Arabidopsis thaliana: one gene and its partners. The protein of the gene in region 3 interacts with the protein of the main gene of each other region in a pairwise test. Each region holds a gene or a part of one and is shown on either strand. Other genes may lie near its edges.

Region 1 (8,223 bases), on a different chromosome or scaffold from region 3:
CTTTCAGTATCCGTTGCTGTCACGTAGCGGGAAGATGAACAGATTGATCTATGAGTCACGAGATCCTGACCCGACGATCCTTATTCTTGATGATCTACCTGGAGGACCAGAAGCGTTTGAGCTTGCATCCAAATTCTGCTATGGAGTTCCCGTGGATCTCACGGCAACTAACATATCAGGATTACGTTGTGCAGCTGAGTATCTTGAGATGACAGAGGATCTTGAGGAAGGGAATCTAATCTTCAAGACAGAAGCTTTTCTCAGCTATGTGGTTCTGTCTTCATGGAGAGACTCCATCTTGGTCCTGAAGAGCTGTGAAAAGCTCTCACCTTGGGCTGAGAATCTTCAGATTGTGAGAAGGTGTAGTGAATCTATCGCTTGGAAAGCTTGTAGTAATCCAAAAGGTATTAGATGGGCTTACACAGGGAAAGCTCCATCTCCATCAACAACAAATTTCGCGGGTTCTAGTCCGAGATGGAACGAATCAAAAGATTCAAGTTTCTATTGTAGTCCGAGTAGGAACACTAATAGCCAGCCTGTTCCTCCAGATTGGTGGTTCGAAGATGTCTCCATCTTAAGAATCGATCATTTCGTTCGTGTAATCACTGCAATCAAGGTACTACTACACATAGGTTATTTTTCTCTCAAGCATTTTCACAAACACTTGGTGTACATATCTCAATCCTCTATCCATTGAAACAGGTGAAAGGTATGAGATTTGAACTACTCGGAGCTGTAATAATGCATTACGCCGGAAAATGGCTTCCGGGTTTGATCAAAGAAGGAGGAGTTGCAATAGCTCCAGCAATGTCCTCCGCCATTGGAGGAGGATTAGGTTTAGGAGGAGACGAAATGAGTATAAGCTGCGGAAGCAACAGCAGCGGAGGAAGCTCCGGACCAGATTGGAAAGGCGGTCTTCATATGGTTCTCTCCGCCGGAAAAACAAACGGACATCAAGATTCCGTCGCTTGTCTCGCCGGACTAGGAATCAGTCCAAAAGACCAACGAATGATCGTCGAATCTTTAATCAGCATAATCCCTCCACAGAAAGATTCCGTCACTTGTAGCTTCCTCCTCCGTCTTCTTAGAGCAGCAAACATGCTCAAAGTAGCTCCGGCGTTGATCACGGAGCTCGAGAAACGCGTAGGGATGCAATTCGAACAAGCGACGCTTCAAGATCTTTTGATTCCTGGTTATAACAATAAAGGAGAGACAATGTACGATGTTGATCTTGTTCAGAGATTGTTGGAACATTTTCTTGTGCAAGAACAGACGGAAGGATCGAGTCCGAGTCGAATGTCGCCGTCGCCGTCGCAGTCTATGTACGCCGATATCCCGAGAGGGAATAACAACAATGGTGGTGGTGGTGGTGGTAATAATCAGAATGCGAAAATGAGAGTGGCGAGGCTTGTGGATAGTTATCTCACCGAAGTTGCTAGAGATCGGAATTTGCCGTTGACAAAGTTTCAGGTTTTGGCTGAGGCGTTACCGGAATCTGCTAGGACTTGTGACGATGGACTATACAGAGCCATTGATTCATATCTCAAGGTATATATATATTGAAGGTCTTTTTGGTAAATTCGTAGAATAGTTTTCAACATTTTTTTGGCTTAATTTTGTTGTGATAGGCGCATCCGACATTATCGGAGCATGAGAGGAAACGGCTATGCCGAGTGATGGATTGTCAAAAACTATCAATGGACGCATGTATGCACGCGGCTCAGAACGAGAGGTTGCCATTGAGAGTGGTGGTTCAAGTTCTCTTCTCGGAGCAAGTCAAGATCAGCAATGCTTTAGCCAACACATCACTCAAGGAGTCAACCACTTTAGGAGAAGCCATGGGTACGTATCAGCCTATGATCCCAAATCGCAAGACATTGATCGAAGCAACACCACAATCGTTTCAGGCAAGTAAGAGAAAACACTCATCAAAATTCACACAAATTCCTTTTTTCTAATTCCTCTACTTTGAATGCAGGAAGGATGGGCTGCAGCCAAGAAGGATATTAACACGTTGAAGTTCGAGTTAGAGACGGTGAAGACCAAGTACGTCGAGCTTCAGAACGAGATGGAAGTGATGCAACGACAGTTTGAGAAGACGGGGAAAGTGAAGAACACGCCATCTTCTTCGGCTTGGACCAGCGGTTGGAAGAAGCTAAGTAAACTGACTAAGATGAGTGGACAGGAGAGCCATGACATATCCTCTGGAGGAGAACAAGCTGGTGTTGATCATCCACCCCCCAGGAAACCAAGACGATGGAGGAACTCAATTTCATGAAGTGATAGTGATGGTTTTGTATCTTCTTGATTTTGATTCTTTGAAAAGAAAAAGCTTTTGTTTGTTCCTAATTTGTAATGTTTATTGGTTTCTAATATGGAATAAGTGACATAAACGATTCGATTTTTATCACAAACCAAAAAACGCCATTTGTTTATTACAAAACCATTTAACAATACAACAATAGAGACACAACAATACCAGTAGCATGTGGGTTGAAGCAAAAGACAAAGGAATAGTTTGCATTATTACAGACACTCAAATTAATTACATGAACATGACATCAATATTTCATAAAAATCATGGACCCATCTAGTCATCATATGGACAAAAGAGTGTGTGTGGGTCAGAGATATTTTATTACCTTAGGGGAGATTCATAGATCACGCGAGCTTGAGATGAGACTTTGAATATTTGCCTTTTGATTTCACCATCCACACTCAGCCAAAAAAGATAATCATTGTCCATCAATGACCATGACGACTTTGGCTTTTCATTCCACACAGAGAGAAGAAGAAAGTGACCTCTTTTCTTCTTTAACTTTTTGAAATTTGCAGTAGCATATATAATACTTAAAAGTAGTCCACTATATACAGCTAAAAAGCTGGTGCAGAGGATACGTACCCAAAAACCCACTTCACACGTTTTAACTCGTCAGAATCTTTCACGCCTTATCTGTCTGCAGATTTCTTGTTCCCCATGTTGTCTCTTTAAGCAACAAGATTGGTGACTTGTGAGTGGTGGAGCTTTGGTTCTTAACCTCTGTGGAGATTAAGTCTCGTTTCAGCAACTTTAGGTAATCAATTGCTTCGTCCAGAAGTAAGAGCGCTTCGTTTCCTTTTGCACCAGGGACTACGCTCTCGAGTATTTTCAGAGCTGTGCGGATCTTGTCTTTCTTCGACTGCTCGTTGCTCAGACCAGAACCAGTGTCCTCTTTGGTCGATATGGTTTTTGATTCAGGGAGCTTTTTGTCCTTAAGAAAGGAAGATCCATTGAGTTGTGTGGAGCTCTCAGTGCCCACAAGTGATGATAAGTCGCTGATGTTGTTGACCTTATCCAGTAGTTTCTGCCTTTTACAAGGACCATCGATTTCTTCTAATTCCCTTTTGTTGCAAACTCCTTCATTTGGATAAGGAGAGTGACCAGTGCTCATTACTTCATCATCACTCTCGCAATCATCATCATAATCATCATCTGAATATAGCAATGCATTGATCTCCTCAGTGTCTTCATGCATTTCTGACTCTGTTCCATCACTCTTGTGAAACTCTTCACCATCTTCTTTGAAAGCTTTCTCTATACCTTGTAACTCAGAGAGTTTCACTGGTTCTGCAGCCGCATGAGATGGAAACCGTAGAGGAAATGGACATTGTAATAGACGAGTCTGGTCTCCTGACTGATCGAATATCAAAAGTCTTTTCTGAGAAGACTCTAATGCTCCAAGTGGAGTAGTAGTAGTAGTAGCAGCAGCGCACCAAGACCGCATGTCAGACCGTGAGAATCTTTTTCCATAAGACTCCTTATCATGACTGCACAGCAAAGACTGGAATGGTGGTGGCTGCAAACAGCGAGCCTGAAGCTTAGCTGCATATAGTTTCCCAAGCTCAGGGAGAGGAATTCTAGGAAGGACAGACCGACCTACTATATCCTTGAAGCAAGCTTGAGGACTTAAGCCCAGAGGCAAATCCCGTTGCCTCTTATCCAGAGGCATGCTCTTAGCAGTTTAGCTCAAGGGAACTTCAAAAAGTACAACACTGCAGGACAAAACAGAGGCAAAAATCAGCTCAAGAAAGATAAAGTCAGTAATATCACAAGCGTAATTAGAGGGAAAAGAGCATACCGATTGTTAAGTTGCTCAACTGAGTGAATGCAATACTTCTTGTGTCCTTTTCGAGAAAATAGTAAAAGAAAGACGAACGAAAAACAATCACAGATTGAAAAATGCAGCGAAATGTCACCAACCAACTACGTGACTGGTTTGAGTAGAAGTCTGAAGTACTCAGCCTGAAACACAAAGAATAATCACAAAACCACAGTGTTAGAAGACTAGAACTATATAAGCTAAAAGTATGATAACAAGAGCATTATTGTCTGGTACAAACCTGGCAATTATCCATCGGTTGATAGCATTCAATAACTCTCACTACAATTGTTGATTCGTTAGCGTTTCCGGTCTCGTACTTCAATCCTCGAAATCTTGTCTTACCAGGTGATTGGCACACCATAACTTTGAGGAAATCTTGATTGAAGAAAGTAGACAGATACCAAAACCAAAAGGAGGAAAGTTTTGTTTGTGGAAGGAGAGTGAGCTTTTAGTCTAGCTGATTCTTTGTTCACAATGGTACACATAGAAATGTTGTGATCCCATTTTCAAAAGTGTTTATAATATACCGAAAAAGAAGGGAAGATGAATAAGAAAGAAAAGGATTTGACTCTTGAAGGTGTTGCTTCAAAGGTGAAACAATCTACAGTATCACACGGCAATACAGATTCAAGCTCAAAACTTTACGGTATACGGCAATACACATGCTGTTTTCTCTTTCTCTTCCTCTTATACACACTCTAATTGATTCTGATCACTCAAACCTACTTTAGTATCTGTGCAAAAAGTCGAAGGAAGAATCTCATCAGCACCAAAAATGAGCTAAATCCAGAGATCAAAAACAGTAAAGGACATAGATTTATAAACGTCTAGCAAGTGGGTGTATTCACAGCATCAATTCCAGCAAAATTACGCTACATTTTACTATTACAACTCAGAATATACACAAATCACAATGTTCTAAGCTAGATTCAGACATAAATTACAGAACTTTACCATTTCACAAACGACTCAAACCGTTTTTAACCACAGTCTCCAGATACACAAACAGAGAGAACAGTGACACAGACTATAAGAGAGAAAAATTGGATTTTGATTACCTTAGAAAGGAATGATCTTTCGGTCAGATCCAGAGAAAACGATGAGACTTTTTTGTTTTTTTTTGAGCTGAATCAATGGAAAAGCAAAGGGATAAGAGAGATGAAAGTGACCAACGAACAATAATGTCTAAACGGAGAATTTTTTTTTACGAAATATTTCTAAAGAGGTGAGTGGCAACAAGAGTAACAAGGCTTTATAAAAAGATTTTATGACGCTTTTGCCCTTTTCATTACTTTATTTTACCAATTCACATTCTCAATTTTTTCGGTTTTTTGTTTGTTCTATATATCGAAATTAATTTTCATTCTATATTTTTTTAAAAGAAAAAAACTAAGATACGCAAAAGGTAACATAATTTAAGTTGTACAATTTGAATTTTTAATTATTTAGAGGAAAAATATGTGTAACTTGGAAATTAATCTAGTAATTAAAAACGGTGGCAATGTTTATATTTGTGCTTTGCTTGAAAGAAATGGGACAAGGGGGCCGAACGTGTATATACGTAATTATGGTATATATGATGACAAAGTCTCACGGTCCATAATTTCAGGTTATACTTTATCATTAAATAATATTTTTCTAACCAATATAATTTTTTAATATATACTTAATTCGTTAAAGTAAAAGTTCATACGTTTTCTCTTATTTATTTTAAAAGCTAAGTTAGTGAAAGTGTGGTCGAGCTTTATTATATCCTTAATTATTTTCTAAATAAATACTATTTCAGGTTATAATCCCTCTTTAATTTTATTGAAAGCTAAGTTAGTGAAAGTGTGCTCAAGCTTTTTTTCATCCTTAATTATATTTTAATAGTACATTTGTTCAGGTGCGGTGTTGTGTGTGTTTCAAACACCCATTGTGACGGAAAAGAATAAAAGCTAACCACTCTTTTTAATTGTTTAATTTAAATTGACAATTTAGCATCTATCTAGCTTATACAACGCCAAAATTAGCTCAATACTTTTGTTTTATTTTTAAAAATATTATGTAGACTTTCATTTATGTTAAAAGTTATTATTCATAAAAGGACTTATGTGATTGGGGAATGTGGGTGAAAAGAAAAAGAAAAGTAAAAAGAATGAAAATGAAAATGGAGAAAAGAAAAAGAAAAAAGAAGCATAAGTGATGATTAAAGAATTGCACGGGAATTTTAAGTGCTTAATTACCCGCACGACTTCTCTCGCGTCTCTCTCTTTTTTCTTCCTTTCTTTTGTTAACTTATGTATCTTGTCTGAAAAAGTTTTTAACTTTAGTCTTTTTTCTTCCTTTGATTTGATATTAAGAACAGTAATTTATACTGTGTTTTGAATTAGAAGTGGTCAATTCAAATTTCATTATGGTTGAGACCATTTGCTTTGGGTCTGATATGTCATTAAGATTGAAGTTTTAGTTTGATTCTTTTGTGCTTTTTATTGGCATTTTGATTGAATAAACAAAACCATTTTAATCAAAATAAAAAAACGGGAATAATATCATAATATAGTACAAACATTCCAACTGAAACACGAGACGGGTCTTTTCTTTTATTTAGATAAAAACGTTGTCCAAGAGTTTTAGAAGAGCAATGACATCACAAAGTTTTGTTGCATAAAGATCCCAGAAGCAATAAACATAAAGGGTTGTTTAATAATCTACCCACAGTTTAGGAGCTGGGGAGATCATTACTGCACGCTCAGTACTTCGATTTCAAAGTCGAGAACAGAGTTTGGCTGGATCCCCCATGCCGGAAATCCACCAGCGCCATATGCGTAATCCGATGAGCACTGCAGAAGCAGATAAGATCGCAAGCCAAAGATGTTAAACATATAACGAAACACCCAAACTATCATGAAAGACAAAAGTGCTTCAACAGAGAGCCATAAAAGCATAGATGGCAAAGAGGAACATGATGAGAGAAGCAGAGTATACATACCCGCAAGCGAGCAACCTCTCCAATTTGCATTCCGATAACGCCTTCATCCCATCCTGTAAGCAAAGTTAAACAATCGAATCATATGATGTTCACTCGCCAAAAAAGAGGCAAATAGGTTCAGAGATATGATATGATTAACCATAAAACAGAGTAAGTAAGTTTATACCTTTGATCACAGCACCTTTACCGATTTGGAACGAGAAAGGTTTTTGTCCCTCGTCCTTTGTACTATAATGATATACCAAAGAACAAAACACAGTTAGGCTCAAGGAAATACCAAATTAAATAAGTCTTTTAAGACGAAACATATTGATTTATAAACTGAGTATGCGTAGATGATAAGAACAAGTAAGTGTAATTATCTTTTTATTGATCCTAGAATCAAAGCTTACAATAAAGAATTATTTACCTCCAGAACTTCTGGGATAGATCACCATCTTTCCCTGCCAAAAAAAACACACACACAAGAGAAATAAGATTCTCAAACAAATTCATTTCAATTCCACACAAGAAACTGGATTATAAGATAAACAAGATTCTTTAATTAAACCTACAAATAGAAAATCTAAACAAGAGATCTATTCGTATGAAGTTTCAGATGAGCAGACAAATAATCTCGCAGAACAGCAAAATTACAGATTAATTATGACCTAAGTGTTACTATCACCACCCAGAATAGAACATAAACCCTAATTAAATCTATTTCACATCATAGAAAACAAACAAATAGCGAGTACGACTACCACAACACATCAAATAGCTCTTCAACAAAGCAGATTTGTATAGATCGATTTAGCCTATCATGGAATTTTCAAAGATATAAATATGCAGAGGAAAGTTACCGAATCCGGTGCAATGGACGGTGACGGTTTGGCCCGGAGCGGGTTTGGGACCGTTGCCGGGTCTGATGACTTGCTTCTCCACACCCATCTCTATATCTTCTCTCTGTCTCTCTCACTGTTTCGCGTTCTTTGCAGCTTCGAATCTCGGAGTAGCTTTTGCCTATATATTTTGTTATTTATCAATTATCATGCTGTTTGATCTAAACCCTATCTGGGCCTAACAATAATCCAAAACCCAATTCGATGAAATTTAGGCCCATTATTTATT
Region 2 (8,709 bases), on a different chromosome or scaffold from region 3:
AATATTACTCAAAAAATAATTTTGGTTTTTATTCGGTTTGGTTTGGTTTGATTACACTAAAAGTCGTTTACAGTTCTCGGTTATTGGTTTTAAATAAGAAAACCAATGGATTTATAAACAAATGCTGGTTCGGTTTCGATCTTAAACAGTTTCGGTTTGTTTGGTTCGAATTTTTTCCATATTATTACACAAAAGATCAAATAAATTAAACGTAAACGATAATTCCAAACAGGTAACTTCCCATTGGTAACCAAGATCACAGCTGGACTCATCGCAGGAGCCGTTGGATCAGTCGTCGGGAATCCTGCTGACGTGGCGATGGTGAGAATGCAAGCCGACGGAAGCTTGCCGTTAAACCGTCGCAGAAACTACAAGAGCGTCGTGGACGCGATCGACAGGATCGCAAGGCAAGAAGGCGTTTCAAGTTTATGGCGTGGCTCATGGCTAACCGTGAACCGTGCCATGATCGTGACAGCTTCTCAGCTCGCTACGTATGATCACGTCAAAGAAATCTTGGTAGCTGGTGGCCGTGGAACGCCGGGAGGGATAGGAACGCATGTAGCGGCGAGTTTTGCGGCGGGGATCGTCGCGGCGGTGGCGTCGAATCCCATCGACGTTGTGAAGACGAGGATGATGAATGCGGATAAGGAGATTTACGGTGGACCGTTGGATTGTGCGGTGAAGATGGTGGCAGAGGAAGGACCAATGGCTTTGTACAAAGGGCTTGTTCCGACGGCGACGAGGCAAGGACCGTTCACGATGATCTTGTTCCTTACCTTGGAACAAGTTCGTGGTCTGTTAAAAGACGTTAAATTTTGATTAATTTTTTTCAAGTAGTTAGGTTAATAAATGTTTGAGATTCCCATATTTCTTCATACATTTCATATACGTTTAAAATATTTTGAAAATAATTATATAGCGATTAAGGTAATATTTACTAGAGATTTTTGTATAAAAATAAATTATTTATTTGCACAAATATTTTTTTTAGTAAATGCGAAAACTGATAGTGATTGAAGCAAAGGGACTTTTTCGGACGGTCCAAGTCTCTTGGACTTGGGGGATATACTTTTGCTGGGGACCTTCATTTGGTATATTCCTTTTTTTCTTTGGGTACTATGTTCTATTTTCTTGGTTGACAGAAAATATGAAATATCGCTTCTAAATTACAATTTCTTTTGTTTGTTTGTAAAAATCTAAATTAGAAATTATGCAAAAAATTATAAGAAAATAAGATTAACAATAATGTTTTTCTTTTATTGACTTTGATCATATTATCTCTATAAAAGAGAAATAAAATCTTTCTAAAGTTTTTTTACTTGAGTTTGAAGCTGGTGGCAATTTGGTGTTTGTTTTATGAGATTGTATAAGAGTTATCCAAAGCTGAGACATGGCCCAAAATAAGTCCAAGGCCATGTTTAGGCTCCATTTTGCATGGCCACTCCACTCATCTAACCAAAGCCCAGTCTCAATTATGTGAACTGAAATTTCTATGTTTTGTTTTTTCACACTGAAATTTCTATCTAACTGTCTTTCTTTTAACATGTTTCAATGATTTGCTTCCGAATAGAACACATAATAATTGTTTCCTAAAATTTTAAGAATTTTGAAGTACATAGTAGGCATTTGGGTCCACTGATCTCACACGGCAACGACTATTCTCAAATCTCATATCACATCAAAATAAAGAAAAAAGATTCAACGAGAAATTAAAATCTTTAGAAAAAATGTTCCAAAAAGAAAAAGAAGTCATCAAGGCAATTAAGCACTTAATTCCCTGTGCATTTTTTTAATCATTCACTTGCGTCTCTTTCTCTTTTTCTTTTTTTTTCTTCTTTCACCAAACTTGCTTACCTCTTTATTCGTTTTCTTTTCTTTCTCCTATGATCATGGAATTTGGTGGATGCTCCAACGTTTTTCACCTCAATCACTTATTAAAATATCATGTACAATAGTTCGTAATTATATATGAAAAAACGAGTGGGCTAAATTGGTGTTTTATAAGCCACGTCAAAAATATTGTATTATTTAGCTAGCTACTAAACTAGTCAAATATGTTACAATGTATATAGTTCAATTTGTATCGCGTCATCGTAAAGACATAAATGTTCCAAATCATCCCACCCACACACCTAAAAAGAAAGGTTAATACTTTAAAAATAATGATTATAGAAACCACCAAAATGGTTAAAAACTCACTTCCACTATTTGGCTCATAATTATAAAGAAAAAACGTTGCCCCCCCCCCCAAAAAAAAAAAAAAAGTTAAAAAGAAGACGAACATATAATGGCTTTACTTTAACGAACTACTAAGAAATTCTCACGTTTATGATATTACATAATTATTAATTTATGGCTTGAAATTATGGATCGCGAGGGTTTGCCATTATACATCATAATTACATATATTCTACGTTCCACCTCCTCTACTCCTCGTCCCATTGCAACCATCCAAACTAATAAAAATATTTAGATTATTTCTACCATTCAATTCAAAATTATATGCATTTTAAATTATACTATATGTATTTTCTAAAATAAATTTAAATTGAACTGAATTAAATAAATTTAATTTTTCTTTATAAAAAATATGTGTTAGAAATATGAATTGAAACTCATACTAAAGTGTATTTTAGTTTTAATTTCTACTAAAAAGAATAGTAAAAAATCAAAATAATAAGACTATATCCAATGTTCAATTCTATTTTTTCTTCTATTTTAAAATTGACTCTATTTTAAAGGTATTTTATTTCATTGTATGACTCTAAAATAAAGTTTTCTCTAAAATAGAAAACAAATATAGAGTAAGTTGTCTTTTGTTCTATTTATAGAGTAATCTCTACATTTTTCTTCTATTTTAGTAGTAACTCTATTCTAAAATATATAATAGAGTAAAATTAATTATATTTCTTCTTAAATTGAGTTAATATTAAAATAGAAGAAAATAAAGTTGGGCAATGGAGATGGTGTTATGTTTTGCTCAAATGAGTTTTTAGAGTTGATGTTCCAGCTTGGTTATCTAAATTTTGGAAGAGAAAGAAAAATGAAAAAAAAAAAAAAAAAATCTGAAATAAACTTGGTTGATGTGAACTGTTTTTTTCTTTTTCTTTTTCTTTTCCTGGTCTCCATTATTGACGGTAAATAAAGTGGTGGAAAAGGGTAAAATCGTCACAAGAAATAAGAAGATGTATAAAGCAATGTCACACACTTCAGTCTTCACGCCCACTTTTAGTGAATTTGCTAAAAATATATTTTCGAAATAATATTCCGCTTTCTCGTTTCTTATCCGTTCAAGCTTTCGTGAATTCGTCTCATAAACCTCTCCACTCTCTCTGGATCTCCACGCATAGATCTTCCTCTGTTTTCCTCCATGTACGCTTCTTGGATTCACTTAACCATTGTTTGTCGCTGTGCTCTCTCTGTTTTTTTATTCCTCGAAAAAGTTGAATTATCAGCGAATTTGATGCAAATGTGTTTAAATCGTTACCAAAACGGATAAATTCTTCTATTTTCGTAGCTTGGCTTGCAAAATCCAAGCTTTTAGTTCTTGATTTTGCTAAAATAAATTATACTTGTTCAATGCTGCAGAACATGTACTTATCTTCTTCTGCTGTTTATGGTTTCTCTATCCTTTCAATTGTTGTGAATGTTTGGTTTCTTTGGTTTGTTATTACTGGAATTTGATGAGATGATTCTCTGTTTTGTAACAGAATTCTTCTCTCTTTCTCTGGATCACAACAAAGCAGTGAATGAGAAAAACAGCATGAGTTGGTTCACAAGGTCTGTTGATGTGTACCGTAAAGTTGTGAGCTTGAATCTGTATTGCCGAGTTATTCTGTAAACTTTTTCTCTGCCTTGAAAAACCCCATCTTCAATCTTCTTCTAAATCCTCAGCCTTTTCTAAACTCTTTAATAATGGGATCCCAACGTTTCTACGTTTTCCACTGTGACCAGTATAGGATCATCTAAACCCTTAAAGCTTCTCTTTTTCTTCTTCAAGTCATCTGTCTTTTGGTGACTTACTCTGTTCTGTGGAGAAACACTAGTTTTACATTCGAGAGTTTGGAAAAGTTATTATTATGGTAAGTCAATCAGCTGGTCAAACAAGATTTCGAACATTCAAGTACGAGAACAACGGAGACTCTAGCAGACCAACAATTGTAGTGAGAGTTATTGCTTGCTTCCAACCGATGGATAATTGTCAGGTTTGTTGCAGCAAAAATGATATTATACTCTTTTTTTTGTCACATTTCATCTCATAGTCCTGTGTTTCTTATCTAACACTTTTGTCTCTGTTCCACTTGCAGGCTGAATACTTTAGACATATACTCAAACCAGTGACGTAGTTGGTTTGTGAGCTTGTGTTTGTATTTTTGGAGCTGGCACCTTTTTTCTTTTTGTCTCTACTTTCTTATACGATTGTTTCAAGAAAGAATCAACAAGTGTTGCGTTCCACACATTTGAGCAACAGCTTCCACAATCGGTATGCTAACTGAATCTTTGACTCTTTATGGATTATTGCTTTCTTGAGTTGGGCTACTAGTAGTTGTCTCATTCATAGCCATGTCCAATGATTAGTCCCTTTCCTTTTTCGTGCAGTATTGTATTCCTGTAAAGTTCCCTTGGCTTAAACTGCAAGAGCATGCCTCTTGATACCAAACAGCAGAAATGGTTGCCATTAGGCTTAAATCCTCAAGCTTGTGTCCAGGACAAGGCGACTGAGTATTTCCGTCCTGGAATTCCTTTTCCGGAACTCGGTAAAGTTTATGCAGCTGAGCATCAGTTTCGCTATTTGCAGCCACCGTTCCAAGCCTTATTGTCTAGATATGATCAGCAGTCTTGTGGAAAACAAGTTTCATGTTTGAATGGGCGATCTAGCAACGGTGCTGCTCCAGAGGGGGCACTCAAGTCTTCTCGGAAAAGATTTATAGTATTCGATCAGTCGGGAGAGCAGACTCGTTTGTTACAATGTGGATTTCCTCTGCGGTTTCCTTCTTCTATGGATGCAGAGCGAGGGAACATTCTCGGTGCCCTACACCCAGAGAAAGGGTTTAGTAAAGATCATGCCATTCAAGAAAAGATATTGCAACATGAAGATCATGAAAATGGCGAAGAAGACTCGGAAATGCACGAAGACACTGAGGAAATCAACGCGTTACTGTATTCTGATGATGACGATAATGATGATTGGGAAAGTGATGATGAAGTAATGAGCACTGGTCACTCTCCATTCACAGTTGAACAACAAGCGTGCAACATAACAACAGAAGAGCTGGATGAAACTGAAAGCACTGTTGATGGTCCACTTCTTAAAAGACAGAAACTACTGGACCATTCGTACAGAGACTCATCACCATCCCTTGTGGGCACCACTAAAGTCAAAGGCTTATCAGATGAAAACCTTCCTGAATCAAACATTTCAAGCAAACAAGAAACGGGTTCTGGTTTGAGCGACGAGCAGTCAAGAAAAGACAAGATTCACACCGCTCTGAGAATCCTGGAGAGTGTAGTTCCAGGGGCAAAGGGAAAAGAAGCTCTTTTACTACTAGACGAAGCCATTGATTACCTCAAGTTGCTGAAGCAAAGCTTAAACTCATCAAAGGGTTTGAATAACCATTGGTGAAAAACCTACAACCCCTTTTGTCCTATTGATAAGGCATGTTTGGTTGGTTAAAGAGAAGACATGGGACAAAAGATAATCAATGAGGTAAAGGACTGATGAAGAAGATTCTCTCAAATTCATTAACGTGGGTTTGAAACAATTAGAACACGCCTGGTGACCCTAGTGGGACCGTATCCACTGTTCATCTAGCTGGATCAATAGTGGTTTACTTTTGGATTTGGCATGCTCTCTCAAAAAAGAACCAAAAAAAAGTCACTTTCTTCTGTGCTTGGAGTGGAAGAAAAGTGAAAGAAGGGAAAAAAGCAAAGTCTTGGTGCTCATTGATCGTTAATAATTATCTTTACTCGTGAGTAATAATAATATCTCTGTGAAGGTCTGGTGGTGGTGGGTGTGGATGAAGAAAAATCAAAAAGGCAAATATTGAAATTTTTGGAGTGGTTGTGACTTGTGGAAATTGAAATCTTCCCACTTTCATTAGGTGAAAATCTATGTCCCCACTCTCTCTTGTCTCATTATTACTCTTCTGTTGCTATCAATCCCATAACTTGTCATCTTTTTTGTTTTTTCTAATCTCTCTGGCTCTTAAGCTCTTCAAAGGCCTTGTAGTTTTGTACTATTGTAATGTTATTTGCTTCTGTTGTTTCTCTCATGGGTCTAAACATGTTTGTGTATCATGTTCATGTAATAAACTCGAGTGTTAATAATGGAACCTTCTTTGGCTTCTTACATGCTAGGATTTTGCTCTAACCTTTCAAACTATCATTTTTTCTATACCAAAAACAAATTTTGTAGACTTATTATTAAACAACAACCATACAAGAAAAACCTCCACAATCTATTTTTTGTTGTAAAATTTGGACTTTTTGAAATTTGACGTTACATATGAAATGTTATGGACCTTGCCTAAGGAAACACATCTTCCGACTATGCAGCAAAATCTTCTGGTGAGGAAATCTATGTGTCTCATGACCTCCCACGTAAAGAACAAAAAGATATTTAAGAATCACAGTGAAGAGAAGAAACCTCTATTTTATTCATCCACCATGATTAATGAGCTTGATCTGATTCTTCTTGCTAAGAGCATAAAATTTTCACCAACTTATTTCTCCATCTTAAGATGATCCTTCATTCTCCAAGCTGCATTTGTTATGCACCAAGATCAAGTGAAAGCCGCTGGCTATTCCCTCTAAACCAACATCTCGAAAAGCATTCAAGATCCTCAAGCAAGCAGAAGCATCAAACTCTGTCGTTTTAGACTCTTTCCACTGATGGATAATCTCCTCGGCTTCTCTCAAATGACCAAGCATTAGATAAGATGAAAGAACACAAATGTAGCTTCTACTACTCAATATCTGGTTGGTGTTTCTCAAAGACTTCCAAATCTGATCTATCATAACCTTGTTCCCTAGACCAGTGTGCAGAATCATAAGGAAGTCATATGTGATCCATTCTCTTTGCGAAATAGATTTCTCAGCTTCGACAGGCAAAGTAGACTCTGCATTAGTTACTCTACTACTGTTTATGTAGATGCTAGTAAGATCGATATACCGAACCCAACCCTCATTGGAACTAGCATCATGCCTCATCTCTTCAAGAATCTTTCTAAGCTCATCTATATTAAAGGTTGCAGCACATGAACTTAGCCACAAATTATAAGTAAAAATATCCGGAGAAACCTTTTTCTGCTTTAACACTTCAATAACCTCAGGTACTTTCTCAACTTGCCCAACTGACATGTATAAAGTCATCATCTCGTTGTATGTGATGGCACCAAAAGTGAGACTATCACTCTCAATGATTCTCTTGAACAAGGCCTCGGCTCGTTCGGTTTGTTTGGAGGCAGCATAAGCATGAAGGAGAGAAGTATAGGTTTCAGCTGTCTTTGAATCTATATCCAGACCTTCAAAGTAGCGTTCAGCTGCATCGATCCCGAAAACTTTTGAAATCAGATCTATGCGTGAGGCGTAATCAGCATCTGAGATCTTTGATTCTTCATGCTGTACCATCCACTCTGTAACCTGTTAATAATACTTGAATTAGCTCCCAGAAGAATGCAGTTTTGTGCAGCAACACATAACAAATCATAAATTGTGCAATCAATCTAGAAACTAGGAGCTACGAAGAAAAACCAATGAAAAAGGAAATGATCGATGTTAGTACCTCAAGAGCGTGCTTGTAACGGCGAGTTCTCCTAAGCTCTTTGGAGATCTCTCGGAGTTCATTGATAGTCATTTGATTCCCTTCTCCAATCCATTTCTCGAGAACAGTAGTCGCGCTACGTTTCGGAAGTCTCAATCTGAAAATCCTGCTCTTCAGATCGTCTTTCTCCTCCGATTCCTCGACAAGGGAGTTTCCGATTGCTGCGTCAGCATTGTACGACTTGGAGAATCGTGACGATTCGGCGTTTCGAATGAAATTGCTTCCGAGAACACCATTATTCGTCAATCGACTAAATTCATAAGAAGCAGTGTGAATCAATTATCTCAGGAAACAAATACGAAATCAGTAGGAGACATAGAGAGGTGGAGGGAGACTCACCATCTAAGACTATGGAAGAGCGAGCGAGTCGCCATGAATTTTCAGTTCCGACTGAAGAGACCAAAAAGATCTAAAAACCGATCACTTACTTCGAGAAACTCGAGTTTCAACAATTTTGTGTCGAAAAAATAGCAAAAATATCTAATGGGCCCATGAAAATCAGCCCATTAGCTCCAAGATAAACAACCACCAACGATGTGGCAATTCGAAGTTGAAGGCATTAAGTATTTGGGGATTGGTATAAGGCGTGGAATGTTTGGGTTGGTTATTGTGAGGCCTTGAATGGGCTTACGGAGTTGAAGGCTAACTCTTGATTCTTATTATTTTATAGATTTGGTGTCGTTTGCTTTCTTTTTTGTAAACTCTCAATCTAGTTTATTTCTATCCAGTCTCTCGATTTCGTTATTTGTTACAAACACGATTATATGGAGAAGTTGCTATCAACTATCATGCGGCTGATACTTTTTCTGTTATAAATTTTCAGGACTCTAATGAGGCCTTTAAACTCTTTAGATTCAAATGTTATATTTTTGGTTACTTACTAGTTA
Region 3 (8,265 bases):
CCAGAGCAAGAATACCCGAGAAACGCAACTTCAGCACCACAGAGAATGGAAAGCTCACTGAGTTTAGTGTAGATACCATTTCGACGCTTAGACAATGTGACCAATCTGTCTTCGTCTTTTTCAATTTTCTTGATGTTAATCCTTTGTTTTCCTTTGGTTTTCTTGGGTTTCATTTTGGAGAAAAACAAAATTATGAGTTTATTGGCTATAAAAAAATAAGAGAAATTTAAACTAAGTATTTGTTTGCTGTTTTTGGCTTTAGCCAAGGAATATGTTTTTTTTGTGGGTGCAAGATAGGGTTTATATAGATGGAAAAATGGTAGTAATTTAAATTGCATAAAAGTTAGTCAATTCTTAGATTAATGTTTGGAAGGTTGGTAATATTGATTATCCGCATAGTTATGGTTGATTGATAACAATTGTTAATGTTGGATGTAGAGACTTTGACTGGAAAAACTTTTTTTGTAAGGACTTTGACTATATAAATTTTTATAACCAATTGGTAAAAATTGTGATAGTCGAAACTACGATTTTAAATAACTATCAAATATGTGGGAAAACAGAAAATAAATCACAATGATTGTTTTAAAAATTATTTGACACACAATTAAGAAAATCCCTACAGTTTGGCTTGACAAACTTGACGTTACCACCAATTGGTATCACCATGATTGATTTAAGTGAAAATAGAGCAATCTTTAAAATGTGGGGAAATGCTATTGATCAAGTAGTATTTTTAAATGGTTATAAGATTTTCCCATGAATAATCTTGGCTTCACACAAAACATTCGATGTTTGTTTTAACTTTTTGATACAGAGGCGACTCTCACATACAGCGTCAGACCAAAAATACATAATGTTACGTGCTCTCAAGTCTAAACCATATACTCACTTTTCCTGAGCGTTTAGATTCTCCCATCTTCGTGAATGGTATGATGATCCTGCATCTCATAGTCAGTCATGAGCCAGACTCACTCGGCAACAACGATTAACCATACTACCAATCTGCCTCGGTCATCTCATTGGCCTAATGACCAAGCTAACTCGTATGCTAAGTTGGGGTTGGTCCAAGCGGTCCAAAATCTTGAAATGGCCAAACCTACACATTATTATACATACCGAAGATTAGCCAAATAGATTTACCAAAACAAATGCAAATAACACATTTGAAGTTCCGAAATCAGATAATCTAACTATATTTGTAAGTTAATGACAAAAAGTTTATACCCTCCAAAGCACTCTGCCTTGAATAAGACCGTAAGGTACAGTACCAAAGTTTCTTGAGTCTCGTGAGTTATGAGTATAGTCACCTTGAACAAAGACATGTCCTTTAGGAACCTAAAACCAAAAAAACATCGAAAGATCAATTCGCCATTAATCCAACAAACTAAACAATCCAAAGGAAATTGTAATATACACCAATAACACTAACGTTGCTAAAAGATTCAAAATTTTCCATGAATTGCAATCAGCTAAATCGAGCTCAATACTAATTAACAACTTGTTTCAACTCTGATCACTCAATTTCTCAACAATGTATCTACCTTCTTCAAACTCAGTTCTCTAAGTACAACATTCAAAAATCTCATCCATAAGCAAAACCAAAGTGAAGTGAAGTCAACAAGGAAGAAGGTTAAGTAACAAAACATACCACAATGGTTTGAGATTCATCACTCTTCCTTGAATCAATCACAAAGCTTATACAATCACCTTCAATACCAATAACTCTTTTAATTGGAGTCTTATTAGGGTTTTCTGGAGATCGTATCACAACTATATCTCCACGACTCGGTTTCTGATACCGCTTCGAGATTCTCTCCGCTAATAACACATTTCCCGAAGGATGAAGCGTCGGAGTCATGCTCGGACCATAAGCCTGCTCAAAAAGACTACATCTTTATGGTAAATTTTCAATAACGAATTCGATTTACACCAAAAAAGAAGAGAGATTTCGATTGACTCACATAAGCCATGAATCCGAGATAGTTTGTTGTTACATGAAGAAAGCAGTAGAGTTTCGCGAGTAACACGCCGCTTTTCATGGCTTCTCGTGAAGCTGTGTTCCAGAAAGACGACGACGGAGTCGCCATTGCCTATTTCTTCAACTGAATCCAACGAATCGAGATTTGAGAACTACACAAAGTCTGCAGATTTCACGAAAGTGTGAAGCTTTGAGACGAATCGTTGAGCTATACTGTGTAAAATAAAATGTAATCATAACCCAATTTATAAACCCGGTTATTTAATAACCCAGTTAATTTCCATCAGAAATTGAATTTTGGTTACGTATAGGACCCGTTTTATGGTATAAGCGTGACTTTTCAAAATGATGGCCCTTACATTGTTCAGTAGAAGGAAGACCAAATGTTTAAAACTATGTAGAAGCAAATACATAATGATAATTGTAGTTCATAGTCAAATGATTACAGTGAAAGTAAAACCATACAAATTAAAATCTCAAATCAAATCCACAAGTACTTGTTCAAACCTTGCTTCTTCATCGAAGCAGTAACACACAAAAAGCAAAATACATAGAGAGATTCAAACATAAAATAGATACCATCCTGCCAACAAAAGGAAGTGAGTATAGAGGGAGGAAAATAAAGAGAAAGGTCCAGATAGCGCTAGACCGATGATTTACCTCCCGAGAAACAATAGTGATGGAAGAACCGAATATCGGTAGCATTCAAGATTGGTTTGAGAAATGTCCAACGCCAAGTTTCTGAGCTTCGATTTTAAGTGACTTGAGATACTGAACAGCTTCATCAAGAACGCAAGCTGTATTCATCTGTTCTCCTCCAGGGACAATTCTCCTCAATACTCCCATCATCTTCTTCATCTTTTTACGTCCTTTCCCATCATTGTTACTACTACTAGCACTGCCCGATAAACTCTGCTTCCTTGAGTTGTTGTTGTTGTTGTTGTTGTAACCATAACTGGAACAACAAGATTCTGCTGTGGTGTTTCCATAATCCCTGGAAGAAGTACGAGCAGTGCTGACTTCTTCTGAATCACCACCATCCTCTTCACCTTCATTATCATCATTCTCTTCATAATCTTCATCTGCGCTCAAGAGAGCATCGATCTCATTTGGATCTTCTTGATAAGAAGAGGATACTTCTTGCTCATAGTTACCATAGTTACCATAACTTCCCCCAACATACTCGTTCTGAAACGTCGAAGCTAAATTGTTCAACGAAGGGGTATTCATGAGCTTATGAGTCAGCTCAGGATGGTACATCACTTGGCTGCGGTCATATGTTTGATCGAAGATGACAAAGTTCTTTGGACAGACCGCAGACGGTTGAAGTTCAACACCATGGTATGGCAACTTTGCACATGGTGGGAACAAAGCATCATAGGATGACCCTGATGCATACGGGTTGTGCATATTTCTGTCACCCACTTCATCTGAGAAGTGAGGAAACTGATTGTTCTGCATCAGAAAACCCGTGCAAACGTAAAAAAGGAAACGCAAAGAGAAAAACAAGTTGTACACCTCAAACTGCAAGCTGCTTGAATATTTTCTACTACCGATTTGTCGCCTTTGTAAGCTTCCAGCTGCTCAGTTACTACTACACTAAGTTGACACACGGAACCAAATGCTATATCAAGTTATGGCCATCATACTAAAGATATCACGAGTTTCCACCAGAGCCCTTACCCCCCAAACCAGAAGCTCCCCCACAGACAGCTCTTCAGAATACCAGACTCTTTAACAACTCACAGTAAATTTTTTCGAAATCAAAAGTAGATAGCCGCTCAAAACCCCAATTTCCGAAAACTCCAGACGCTAGACTACGTTACAGGCTTAAGCAACTGTCTGAAATATTCAGCCTGCAATGATTTATAAGAAAGGTTGAATATCAGAAAAACTATGGTTAATACTCTAACAAATAGCTATCCACATGTCATCAAGAGGATAGAGTTCTTTTAATGACATAAATCAGTGTTGCCTAAGCGATAGAAGTGTTAGGAAATACTAAATCAAAGAGAGGCATGTACCTGGCAAACTTGAACGGATTGGTAATTAGCAATGAAACATGTAGTCATCATAAAAGTTCCTATTTCCTTCAATGATCGGTTTCCCTTCTTGTTTCCAACAATGCACATTCTCACAAACTAACCAGTATAATAAGCACAACAACAAAGAACTATTCCGAATTCCGGAAACAACACCTGCAAAACAAGGAAGAGATGCCAATAGTTTTAACACAAGAAGCTGTATATAAGGTGGCAACAACAAAATTTGCTTCCACAAGGTACCAATGTAAGACAAAAACACAAGATGTGAAATGAGAGGCTGGCTCACCTGAAAGGAACAAAATTACAGAATAACGAGGAAAAAGACAACCAGACGAGTGCAAGTTCTGTTGAAAAACATGAAGAATGCTGTCCAGGGCATCTTTGGTTCTTCCAATATCAAATTTGTAAGTGTATTAAATACCGTTCCTCTTCTCACAAACTCTGCACAAACAAACAAAAATTAGGACCAACGCTATTCAAATACTAATATATTTTCAGTATAGGAAGTTGAAAGGCACTAACTTCGAGGTAGAATCCTAAAATAACTACTGGCAAAACAAAACAGAGAAACAAAAAAATGGGAAATTTCTAATTCCTGATTCAGATAATAAAAAAGCACAACTTTAGGCATCTGCGTACAACAAACAAAAAGATAGGATCATGACTAAAGACATTAACATCGGATCCAGAATAAATGTTTTTCGATTTCATGATCACAAACCAAAATCAAAATAACTTAACAACTCTGCTTCAAAACAGAACACATAGAGGAAACAAAACCTCAACAAAAGAATTGGACTTGTTAAAAGAAAGAATCTTTACGCGATCATGAATAGTTTATTAATAATAACACAAACAAACATAAACAAGACAGAACATTCAATAGAAAAATCAAATTCAGCAATCATCTGATAAACCATAAAATAGCTATTTATGAGATACCGTCAAAGTACTAATTACAAGACAAAGAAAAAACATATAAGTCCTAATAAGTCAGAAATTGCGGCGGTATAAAGAAAGAAAGAAGCAGAAAACATTCATACCGTAGAAGAAATCAAAAACCCTTTGGATCAAATGAATCGGTGATGCGTAAAAACTAAAGCTTTAGAAGAATCTGATCAAATTCGAAAGAGTGATTTTTTTGTTTTGTTGTTACAGAGGAGAAGAAGAAGAAGATCTAAAGAGAGAATGATGTGTGTGGCAAAAAGAGAGAGAGAAGGGAAGGGTAGAGAAATAAGGAGAAGAGAGCGAGCGAGCGTGGCTTTCTTTTTCTGGTGCGGTTTGTTTTTTTTCGTTTGGTTTGCCCATTTTCATTTCTTTAATCACTCACTCACACACACTACACTAGTCACTACACAAACAAACATTGTTTAAAGTTAATAATTTCGTTTCACGCTTTTCGTGCGTGAATCTACTTGTTTTGTTTTTTCAAATGTGGAGCAAAAAGATGTTTAACTTTACCGCAAATTTTTGGAATTTTCAAAAAAAAAAAATGCACTCCTATTAATTTGATTCATCCAAGATAAAAAGGTAAAAAGCTTGGACAAAATATGTCTTTTTACTTGTTAGATTAGATAAAAAAAAATCTTGGAGTAGAAAGATGACACATTTTTATTAGTAGTGTTATTTAAATCCAACAAAGTATAAGAGTGTCGTGATACCTATATTGTTTCTTAACTTTTTCTCAAACAAAATATTTGTTTCTTAATCTTTTCATAATGTTCAGTTTCTTTAATCTGTTTCTTTCGGCATAAGTAATTCTTTAACTATTTCACTATCTAACTATAAAAGTGGATATTACTATTACAGTAGAAACTCTATAAATTAATACTCGATAAATTAATAAACACGGTAAATTAATAAATTTTGTAGGTTCCAAGTTGTGCCAATATAAAAATTAACCAAAATCAATAAAATAATAAGATAATCATTTTTTTAAAATTCCTATGTAAAATTATAGTCCCAATAATATTATAAATTAATAATTATAGATCTTAAATATATATTTTAAGACTAATTTTTATATGAAATTTTTGTTCAAGCTATAATTACAACTCTTTTTAAAATACAACTGATATGATCTCTGTTGTACTCACATAACTATTTGCGTATTTGATCCGTCATAGTTGATTTTATAAAATCTTTTATTTGAGAAAGCATTACTATGATTTGTGTAAAGAGAAACTGGATTAACTTTCATGTTTACGTTTACGTTCACGTTAATGTCGTAGATATACAAATACAAATCTTACCGAAAATAAATTAAAGAAGTCAAATTAAAATAAAAACCTAACATAATTATATATGCAAACAACAAAGCATATAGAAAATTACATTAAGAAATATTTTTAAAAGAATATAGTATCGTACTTTACGTAAATATTTCTATAAATTAATATTTATTAACTTATACGGTAAATTAATATATATTAATTTAGAGGATAAATTAATATCACTATAAATTAATAAAATTTTATGGCTCACCATTATTAATTTATAGAGTTTTTACTGTATCTAGTAAAATTTACTAAATCACTCTATTTGACCGGTGTCATGCTTTAGATTAGGTCTATTAAAAAACTCATGTATATCACTATGTAAGTGGATAGTAAAAACTCAAACAACTTCTCTTTAGGAAAAAAGAATTACTGTATGTAGAAAATATGTTATCCATTTCTGTAAAGATGGAACACACTATGATTACAGTGTTTAACCCATGTATATCACTATGTAAGTGGATTTTCTTGAATGAAAAGTTTTTTAAAACATAAAAATAAAATAGATGTTATGATAAAATAATAAATAGTGGAAATTAAATGGAAAAAAAAAAACAAGAAGAGGGAGCACGCGTGAGGGGATGGACAGAAGAGAGTCAAACAAGGGAAAGTGTGAGCCGTTGGATGAAACAATCACAAATGGTTTCCGTTTAATGCGGCCTTGATCGTGACCGTTGGTTTGGTTGCTCCTTTAGCACGCGTGAAAAGCTTTTGTGGACCTCTATAGCTCCCACCAAAAAACCAAACTCTCTCTTCTTTGACAATTTTTATTTGTAGTTTTAGAGACGACACAGTGACACACTCTTCTCTCTCTTTGGGCTCTTGTCCCAACCCCATACTTGTTCCAAAGAATATTACTTATTATTTCCAAACCAAACTCATCATTCTTGTCTCTTCACTTTCAGCTGTAATTTTAAGTTTATGTTGGCATGCGTATGCTTGGTAATATTTTTTTATTATTTGATTGGTAAGCGACAAACAACAAGTAAGAATATTTGGTGAGAAAAATAAAAGTAGATATTTGGCAATAAGTAACTAAGGTTTAAAATTAAATAATATATACGAATCGTGTGGGTTTAATTTAAATCATGATTATGGACAGCATTAGTTTCAAAGGAAACCATTCCACACATTGCGAAATAGTTAATCTCATGATGCTGCTTCTTTCTAAATCCATCATTATGTTTCTGTTAAAACTCATTCGATTGAAGTACTGGATGTTTGTTCCAAGTCTTAGTGGAAAAAAAAAGTCTTGTTAAAAGAATCGAGACAATGCAACTAATATTGTACACAAACACCAAACCGTTTCTGAAGCATTGTTATGGATGGCAAAAGTGTTCTTCAACACTTCAACGGAGGTCAAACCTGTTCCTTTTCTGCCTTGTTTAGGGAAAAAATATTCTAAAGCGAAAAGCATTTTTGGTATGAGAATATCCAAGTGCCAAGTGAGAAGATTCAAAGAAAAGTTTAGACGAAAAGCAAATGAATGGAATAAAAAAATATCAATTATAACGGAGTGTTGTTATGTAACTTTGTTAACAGTTGTAAGTAATTTGTAAAACAAACCAAGAGACAAAAGTTTATTTGTAAGGTATAAATTTTTTTTACTGGAAGGTAAAAAAAATGTGTTACACACCAAGTGCTTGAGTGTGGTTTTTAAAAAATGTGTTACAAAGTCATCAATATTCTTGTTGGTACCTTGTTTGCCTTTTGCTTATAACAATTGTCGAGTGTCGAAATGTAAGGGAAATGAAACTTTAGTGTTTTGGGAATGATCTTTGGTATTGGCAACAGACCATTTATAGTGACAAATATCCATTAGTGTTGAGGAATGTCCTTAAGTGCTAACGAAAACGCGTATTAGTGTTGAAGAAAATCTTTCAATGCTGACATAAGACATTTAGTGTTCACGGAAGGCCTTGTTAGTGCTATGGATGGAAAATGCTCTTATTTCTCGTAATAT

The links.
Region 1: the proteins of AT1G29950 (region 3) and SAC51 interact in a two-hybrid assay, tested with the Arabidopsis thaliana proteins (one large-scale study listed by BioGRID).
Region 2: the proteins of AT1G29950 (region 3) and AT5G09460 interact in a two-hybrid assay, tested with the Arabidopsis thaliana proteins (one large-scale study listed by BioGRID).

What each region holds. Positions count from the first base shown.
Region 1 is NC_003076.8:25,727,948-25,736,170, forward strand, and holds SAC51 (transcription factor SAC51), read right to left. Parts: upstream 5,367-8,223; 5' UTR 5,201-5,366; intron 4,877-5,200; 5' UTR 4,381-4,876; intron 4,283-4,380; 5' UTR 4,119-4,282; intron 4,033-4,118; 5' UTR 3,990-4,032; coding exon 2,943-3,989; 3' UTR 2,388-2,942; downstream 1-2,387. Other genes in the region: Phototropic-responsive NPH3 family protein, read left to right, coding at 8-616, 703-1,548, 1,629-1,907, 1,979-2,278; FKBP12 (FK506-binding protein 12), read right to left, coding at 6,863-6,964, 7,114-7,166, 7,280-7,341, 7,523-7,556, 7,956-8,043.
Region 2 is NC_003076.8:2,941,351-2,950,059, reverse strand, and holds AT5G09460 (transcription factor bHLH143), read left to right. Parts: upstream 1-3,220; 5' UTR 3,221-3,372; intron 3,373-3,710; 5' UTR 3,711-4,205; intron 4,206-4,307; 5' UTR 4,308-4,483; intron 4,484-4,599; 5' UTR 4,600-4,642; coding exon 4,643-5,623; 3' UTR 5,624-6,322; downstream 6,323-8,709. Other genes in the region: DIC3 (dicarboxylate carrier 3), read left to right, coding at 233-819; AT5G09450 (Tetratricopeptide repeat (TPR)-like superfamily protein), read right to left, coding at 6,736-7,641, 7,784-8,072, 8,162-8,196.
Region 3 is NC_003070.9:10,488,638-10,496,902, reverse strand, and holds AT1G29950 (basic helix-loop-helix (bHLH) DNA-binding superfamily protein), read right to left. Parts: upstream 5,206-8,265; 5' UTR 5,070-5,205; intron 4,929-5,069; exon of another isoform or gene 4,549-4,928; intron 4,468-4,548; 5' UTR 4,006-4,467; intron 3,838-4,005; 5' UTR 3,443-3,837; coding exon 2,687-3,442; 3' UTR 2,305-2,686; downstream 1-2,304. Other genes in the region: AGL64 (AGAMOUS-like 64), read right to left, coding at 1-173; AT1G29960 (Peptidase S24/S26A/S26B/S26C family protein), read right to left, coding at 1,052-1,099, 1,228-1,338, 1,652-1,876, 1,965-2,090.